2 linked regions of the Ovis aries genome follow. The protein of the gene in region 1 interacts with the protein of each later gene in a biochemical or structural test. Links are inferred from orthologs where the notes say so. Each region holds a gene or a part of one and is shown on either strand. Other genes may lie near its edges.

What was found. The genes of interacting proteins can lie anywhere in the genome.
Region 2: the proteins of FZD7 (region 1) and DVL1 form a complex in vitro, tested with the Homo sapiens proteins (2 studies listed by BioGRID and IntAct, with this or other methods). The link is inferred for Ovis aries from reciprocal best matches to the Homo sapiens genes FZD7 and DVL1.

The regions. Positions count from the first base shown.
Region 1 is NC_056055.1:204,349,340-204,353,304, forward strand, and holds the start of FZD7 (frizzled-7), read left to right. Parts: upstream 1-1,165; 5' UTR 1,166-1,940; coding exon 1,941-3,665; 3' UTR 3,666-3,965. UniProt on the Homo sapiens protein: Receptor for Wnt proteins.
Region 2 is NC_056065.1:50,499,219-50,503,462, reverse strand, and holds the start of DVL1 (segment polarity protein dishevelled homolog DVL-1), read right to left. Parts: upstream 2,801-4,244; 5' UTR 2,731-2,800; coding exon 2,561-2,730; intron 1-2,560. UniProt on the Homo sapiens protein: Participates in Wnt signaling by binding to the cytoplasmic C-terminus of frizzled family members and transducing the Wnt signal to down-stream effectors. Plays a role both in canonical and non-canonical Wnt signaling.

The DNA of each region.
Region 1 (3,965 bases):
GGCGAAGATTTGATCGAGAACAAAAGAACGCTTGCCAATCAGAAAACGCTACCCGAGAACAAGGATAACTTCTCTTTGTGTTTTGGAAACTCTTTAATTAGCAAATGCCTTTGGTTTCTAATATGCATTAAAACTTTTCTACGCAGATTCCAAGAATCAAATCATTGCTTCCGCGACGAAGGTGGGACTCCCAAGGGCCACACGCCACGGAACTAAAGAAAATAGGCAATTAAATACTCGCTGTAAACCTGTACAGTGTTCTGGGCACTCGGCCGCAGGTTTTTTTTACAATAATTTCCCGCACTAGTTTTCTTACGATTTCACTAAAGCTATACCAAATCCCTAGACTCTGGGCCGTGCGTGCGGGCAGGGTGGCCTGAAGCCTGAGTCCCCCGCGCCCGCCGCTCGTCGGCCCTGTCCCCTTGGAGGGGTCGACACTTCCTCCTGCCTTAAGCCGGCCCCCTCTGCCCGACTCCTATTTCTCTTCAGCCTGGGCCCCTCCTCCTTTTTACAACCCGGAGAGGGGGTGAGCGGGGATTGTGGCCTCACGTGGTCTAAGTCTGCCGAGAGAAAAGCAATCCGCGAGGCGCACCCATTTCTTGCCCCATTCCGAACCCCGCATTTAGGATCCTGTCACCTAAAAGCCCCCCTCCAAATCCAGCATTTTCAGCCCAAGGAGTGCTAAACACAACTCCGGGTCGCGTTTCTCTCCGGGGAGGTGCTATTCTTATTCTCAACCTCTCCATGCAAAAGCCTTGCCCGGTGCGCCCTTCTGTTCAGGAATCTGTATTTTAGTGTACCCGGAACACTAAGGAACAAATATTTCAAGCAAATTCCCTTTCTGGTGCGCTTCTCTACCCCCTCCCCCCAGTGAATTCAGGGTAAAAGTTTTTCTTAACTTTTCCCTCCCAGCCCCCTGCCCCTCCCCTCAGGAATCCGCCCAGAGCTCCGCAGACCTAGCCTCTCTCGTTCCCTTGCCCGCCCCTTCCGACTTCCACCCAATCCGAAGACAGTCACACAGAAAACAAAGGCTGCTATTGGGCCTCCCTGGAGCTCGAGGGCCCGCCCCCGGAGTGGTTTGTGAATGGGGGGAGGGGAGGGGGCGGGGCGGTCCGGAACCCTGAGAGCCCGACGCTTCTTCTGTAGAGTTGCGCGGCTCCGAGGCGTTACTCTGCGCTCCCTCCCGGCGGGCAGCGCTCCCTCACCGCTCAGAGTTGCGCGGGGCTGGAGAGGCCAGGCCCAGGCCGCGGGCACCAGGACCTCGCAGCCTCGGACGCAGTGTGACTGGATTTCTTAAAAGAACTCGCCGAGCTCTTGGCTCCAAGACGCCGATCGGACTCAGAGCGAGAATTAGCCGTTTGGCTGAAAGTTGGAGCCAAGCTTCTGGGGCTGAAGAAGGAGCAAGGAGCGGAGAAGGAGGCGAAGGAGGAGGCGGCGGCGAGCGGAGCCTCGAGGAGAGGAGGCGGAGCAGCACCGTTGAGGCGGCGGCTTTGGCTAGCAAGCGGGGGCGCCGGGGTCTCGCCTGCCGGGGCCAGACTTAGTGTGGGGGTGCGGCGCGCGCCCTATTGAGCTCAGTGAGTCGGGAGACTTGGGCAAACTTTGAAGGGTAACCGGAGACGCTTGTTGCTCCTCGCCGCAGAAAAAGCCGCACCGTTACGTCGCATCAAGAGGAGAAGGCGGCCCCCCATCTGCGCCCCCAGCCCAGCGAGACGAGTTTGGACCCCCGGCGGCTGCGCCAGTGCTGGGCGGAGGCGGCGGCGCCCCCGTGGCGGGAGCACCCCAGCTGCAGCGCCCTCTGTTCCGCGCCGCCCACGGCCCAGCCCCGGCGCCGGGAGGACTCTCATGCGCCCGGCGCAGCGGCGCCTCCCCCGATCCCAGCCTCTCCCGGCTGCCTGGTCGCGTTTCTCGGGCTGAGAGTGCCGCTGCACCCGCGGCCGGCGATGCGGGGCTCCTGCGCGGCGGTGTCGCGCTTGCCTCTGGACCTTTGCACCCTGGCGCTGGCGCTGCTGGGCGCACTGCCCGCGGGCGCCGGGGCGCAGCCGTACCACGGAGAGAAGGGCATCTCAGTGCCAGACCACGGCTTCTGCCAGCCCATCTCCATCCCTCTGTGCACGGACATCGCCTACAACCAGACCATCTTGCCCAACCTGCTGGGTCACACGAACCAAGAGGAGGCGGGCCTCGAGGTGCACCAGTTCTACCCGCTGGTGAAGGTGCAGTGTTCTCCCGAGCTGCGGTTCTTCCTCTGCTCCATGTACGCACCCGTGTGTACGGTGCTCGACAAGGCCATCCCTCCGTGCCGCTCTCTCTGCGAGCGTGCCCGCCAGGGCTGTGAAGCACTCATGAACAAGTTCGGCTTCCAATGGCCTGAACGGCTGCGTTGCGAGAACTTCCCCGTGCACGGCGCTGGCGAGATCTGCGTGGGCCAAAACACGTCGGACGGCTCCGGGGGCGCGGGCGGCGGCCCCACCGCCTACCCTACCGCACCCTACCTGCCCGACCTGCCCTTCACCGCGCTGCCTCCGGGGGCCGCCGACGGCCGGGGCCGCTCCGCTTTCCCCTTCTCGTGCCCCCGCCAGCTCAAGGTGCCCCCCTACCTGGGCTACCGCTTCCTTGGCGAGCGCGACTGCGGCGCCCCTTGCGAGCCGGGCCGCGCTAATGGCCTTATGTACTTTAAGGAGGAGGAGAGGCGCTTCGCCCGCCTCTGGGTGGGCGTGTGGTCTGTGCTGTGCTGCGCCTCGACTCTCTTCACCGTGCTCACCTACCTAGTGGACATGCGGCGGTTCAGCTACCCGGAGCGGCCCATCATCTTCCTGTCAGGCTGCTACTTCATGGTGGCCGTGGCGCACGTGGCCGGCTTCCTGCTGGAGGACCGCGCGGTGTGCGTGGAGCGCTTCTCCGACGACGGCTACCGCACGGTGGCGCAGGGCACCAAGAAGGAGGGCTGCACCATCCTCTTCATGGTGCTCTACTTCTTCGGCATGGCCAGTTCCATCTGGTGGGTCATCTTGTCGCTCACTTGGTTCCTGGCGGCCGGCATGAAGTGGGGCCACGAGGCCATCGAGGCCAACTCGCAGTACTTCCACCTGGCCGCCTGGGCGGTGCCCGCTGTCAAGACCATCACCATCCTGGCTATGGGCCAGGTGGACGGGGACCTGCTCAGCGGGGTGTGCTACGTGGGCCTGTCCAGCGTGGACGCGCTGCGGGGCTTCGTGCTGGCGCCCCTGTTCGTCTACCTCTTCATCGGCACGTCCTTCCTGCTGGCGGGCTTCGTGTCTCTCTTCCGCATCCGCACCATCATGAAGCACGACGGCACCAAGACTGAGAAGCTGGAGAAGCTGATGGTGCGCATCGGCGTCTTCAGCGTGCTCTACACGGTGCCGGCCACCATCGTTCTGGCCTGCTACTTCTATGAGCAGGCCTTCCGCGAACACTGGGAACGCACCTGGCTCCTGCAGACTTGCAAGAGCTACGCGGTGCCCTGCCCGCCAGGCCACTTCCCGCCCATGAGCCCCGACTTTACCGTCTTCATGATCAAGTACCTGATGACCATGATCGTCGGCATCACCACTGGCTTCTGGATCTGGTCGGGCAAGACCCTGCAGTCGTGGCGCCGCTTCTACCACAGACTCAGCCACAGCAGCAAGGGGGAGACTGCGGTATGAACCCCGGCCCCTCCCCCACCCTTCCTTCCCGCCGCCGGGGGTGGGAAAGGGGCGGTAGGGAAAGAACTGCGGGGTGGGGGGACTTGTTTCTGGAACCTCCTTCCGCTCCAGTGAGAAGTCACCTGGAAATGAGAAGATATATGTAGATATATGTGGGTTGGGAAAAGAGGCCTGGGTGGAAATACGGTTTGGATGAAAAGACTTCTGGCAAAGACTTGCAGGATGATGCTGGTGATGGTAACAGTGATGTTAATCATGTGCGGTACGGGCCGCCTTGGGCCTGTCGGAAAAGATTGAGAT
Region 2 (4,244 bases), on another chromosome or scaffold:
GCCCCCAGACAGATGGCCCCACAGACCAGAGCTCCTGGTCCAGTGATGCAGGGCCCAGGGCCACTGCCAAGTCCAGGGAGGCCTGGAGTCCGCAAGGCAGTGGAAGCCTGTGAGCATGGCTGCACACCAACCCCAACGCTTAGCACCTCTGGGTCAGCCCAGCACAGGCTCTGAGAGCCTCCCCAGCTTCACTGGGACACACAGCTATGACCTGCATGGGAAGAGTGGGATGGAGGTGCAGAACTCTCTATCCACTTGCCAAAGATGCTCATGGAGAGTGGGGCCTGGCCAGAGCAAGTGGCTATGGCCACACCTTAGACTTAGGAAGGCTTCCCTTCCTGGCCAGAGAGGCCAAGAACTGAGTAAGACTTTAGGAACAGAGGCCTCAGAAGGGTCAGGGACCTCACAGTCCCCAATCTGAGGCCACCCCTCTCATAAGGGGGCCACTTCCCCAGCCCAGCCAGGACCTGCCCCCCCTTTCTCCAACCTCCAGCTATAACCATTAGGTAGCCAACGTGAGACTCTAGCTCTCATTTATACTAAAGTGTGGGTGACTAATCAGACACTCCCAGAGAAAATTTATTCCACTGAGTAAATGATTCTACAGAATAAACAGAACCTGGAACTCTGTAGGTAGATCTCAGGAGAGGGAAGGAAGGAGGCAGATCCCCTTCAAGGGTCCCTGAGGGCAACAGGCCACCAACCACAGGTCTGGGGGTGGGGGAGGGGAATAAGATGAGCCACCCCTGCTCTGTCTGCCCAGGCCCACTGCACCTTCCAGAGTCACCCCAATCCCTCCCTCTGTCCCAGCCCAGCCTACCAGCTGGTCTTCTTCCCTCCCTCACATCCCAGTCATGCTCAGACAACCTGAAGAACTCCTACTCTTGCTCCAAGACCCAGATCTTGCCTGCCCACCCTGACCTCCTGGGCCAGGGCACCCATGGGTCTGAAAATCCTCTAGCAGGTACAGCCTCTGCTGAAAGTGCACCTGGAGCAGGGGTCTCTGCAGCTCAGCGGCTATTAGACACAGGAGGAGGGTCAGGTCCCTTAGGCTGCACCCCAGATCATGGTCCAAGGGCAGCAACCTGGGGGAGGTGGGCACTCAGTTTGTCACACACTTCCTTCAGTGTGTGAAAGAACATGTGTGATTTCAGTAATTTTTGTTAAAATGATAAACTAAGTTAAAAAACAAAAGCACCCTTCCACATACCTGATGCTCACAGCCAAAGCAGAGCAGGCTCAGAGAAGTGAGACTGTAGGCGATCAAGCAGCTGAGGCGGGTGGAGGGCAGCCAGTGGCCAGGACCAGGCTCCCCAGTCTGTGCCCTACCCTGTGAAGCCTGGCTTGGGGGCAGCTCCTAACCTGAGCCCAGCAGGGTTGGGGGCTGCCAAGGACCCATTCCCCGTTCTCTGCCTCTCCCTGGTGTTGAGGGTATGAGACAGTCTAATTGCCCCCATGTCCCTCAGGCCTCCCTGGGAGCCACAAAGTGGCCTCAGCTTAACCTGACCTGGGACTGCCCAGGGCCAGTGCAAACCACAGAATCCAGGAAATGGCCTCAATGTCAAAGTCCCAAGACGCAGCCACAGACAAGGACATGGGCATGGGCTGCCTAAGGGCGCCCAAGCACACCTGCTCAGCCCAGGCGGCCTCTGGGTGCCCCCCCAGCACTGCCGAGCGGGAGACTCAGGTTACCCGTGTTTGTGCTAGGTCAGGGCTCGAGCGTCCAGCCAGCTTCCAGTTCACCACTCACCGTTCCAGAGGCCCAGCCCGGCACAAGCAGGAAGTCCCCTCAGCCGGGACAGCCACCACTAAGGACAGACGTGGGAACTCTGACCCAGAGGCTGCCCGAGTTAGCAGCTGGCCTGCACTGCTCTCAGGAACCCAAGTGGCATGTAGTTCAGCAGGGACACAGGCCCTGTGGCCAGCAACCCTGAGGCTGGGGTGGGTGGAATAAAGCCCCATGTTGCCCAGTGACCCTTGGTCCCTGCCCTGTCCTGAGGACCCTGGAGAAGGGGGCCAGAAGAATGCTGTTTTAAACCTCCAGAAACTTCTGCAGACCCCTGCAGACAGATCTGCGCCCTTGTCCCAGATCACCTCATTTCCCTGGTGCTAACTAGGAGACCCACTGGGTGGCTGGCACCTGTCCCCACCCTAACCCCTTCCCCCCAACGCTTGGAAACTCCTCTGACCCCAAACATCATGAATCCCACCTGCCCTCCACGTAAGGGGGGCAGCGGACCCTGAGTCTGACAGGTGCCAAGATGGGATTTCGGAGGTCCGCTTCGACTACGGACCTCCACCGCAAGTCACACACACTCAGAACAGGGCCCAGGGTGAAAGGAGAAACCAGGACTGCGGTCCGCCCACCGTCCAATGCTCTCAGATCCCGGAGCAGGCAGTCAGGGGCCCAGGCGCCCCATGCTCGGAGCATAGACAGGTGAGACACACGCACCAGGGCGCGCAGACACCGCCCAGGTCACAGCCCCTGGATCCCCTGCCCTGCCTGGCCGGACAGGTGCCTACCGCGCGCACCCGCGCACAGGCCCTACGGCCCACTGACCCGAAGTCCTGGTCCATGGACTTGAAGAAGAATTTGTAGGCGTGCACGGGCCGGTTGCTGAGCACATTCTTGAAGTCGGCCAGCGTGACGCGCTCGGGCGCCACCGGCAGCTTGACCAGGTACGGCGTCTCCTCCTCGTCCATGTGATAGATGATCTTGGTCTCCGCCATGGCGCGGCGCTCAGGCTCGGCCCGGGTCTCGGACGCGGGCGCCTCCCCGCTGCCGGCCCGCGCCCCGCCCGCGCGCCGCTCCCGGCCCGGCCGCGACCAGGCCCCCGCGTCCCCGCCCGACCGCTCCGGCCCCGCCCGCCCTGCCGGCCTCAGCCCCGGCCCTGGCCCCGGTCCCAACTCCGCGCGCACCCCGGCTGCTGCCCCGCCGCCCGCGGCCGCCCATGCGCCCCGGGCCCGGGACGCAGGCAGGGAGGGCGCGAGGCCCGCCGCGTCCGTGCGCCCCGCCGCCGCCCCCTCGGGCCGCGCGTTAAAGGGACCCCGGATCCGGCTACGAGCGGCCGCTGGGGGCGCCCGAGAGCGGCGGGCCTGACGTCACCAGGCAGTCAGCGGCGTGGGGGCGGGGCTGCGCACGCGCGGGTGAGGGGCGGGGCGCGCTAGGGGCGGGGCCTCCTGCCTTGTCCAGGCCTGGAGCTCGGGGCGCGCGCTCCCGGCCTTCGCCACGCGCATTGGCGGGCAGTCCACAGGGTCAGGCTCCCGGCCAGTGGGCGGCCGGGGGCGCGCCCGGTGGGAAGAAGGCGGGTGAGGGCCCTCAGGAAGCTCCGAGCCCGGCCTGGAGCCCTCGGAGGGTTTCTGCGCTGCCGGGCTCCAGTCCTTCACCTCTTCAGAGTCCGGCGGCGCCTTGGTAACACCGACGGGCTGCAGTGGCTACGTGGGAAACAGAATTCTTGTGTCCGGACCGGAACCGATGACACTCTGTCACTTTGCCCCCCTACCCCCACCCCGCGTCAGCTCCGAGTTGGCGCGCCCTCTGCCAGGTCGCAAGGGGGCTACAAGAAACACGGGCCAAGCGTTATGCGGGTCCCCGTGTGGACGCGACAGTAGGGTCAGCGCAAGCAGCTATGCGCACGCAAGGGGCGGGGCACGGCCCTCCGGCAGCAGGTGTAGAGTGGTTTTTTTTTTTTTTTTCCCAGCCGCTGTCCATCAAACCTGCGTGGGGTCCTCCGTGGGGCAAGGGTCCAGCCACTGGGGAGAGAGGCTCTCCCTCTCCGACCCCAGGAGGAAAACTTGAGGCCACTAGAAGGAGGCCCACGCTAGCGAGAGTGAGATGGGAGAGGACCTAGGGTGGAGCCTGAGAGTGGTGCGGGTGCTGCCCCCCTTGAAGTTGGCTTGGATCCTGGACTCTTCATCTGCCAGGTCAGGACCATCCTCGCTCAGTGGACCAGCGCAAAAAAAGGCCACATTAGTCCATCACTGACTGGAGGAGCCAGTTCTTCCATAAGTCCCTGAGTCCAAGCCAGGGACCACCCTCAGGTGAGCCTCGGCAGGGTTGTTGACATCCATTTCCCTGGGCTCTGAGGGCTCTGTGAGGTTGGCCCACTCAACAAAGCCTGGGCCTTCTTCCCTTGGGTCTCAGCTTCCCCAGAGGTGATCTGAGGAAGCCAGGAAGGATGGCCTTGAAGGAAGGGTCACCATGGCTCTCTGCTGGGTGTTCAGGGAGGGAGGAAGACAGTCCC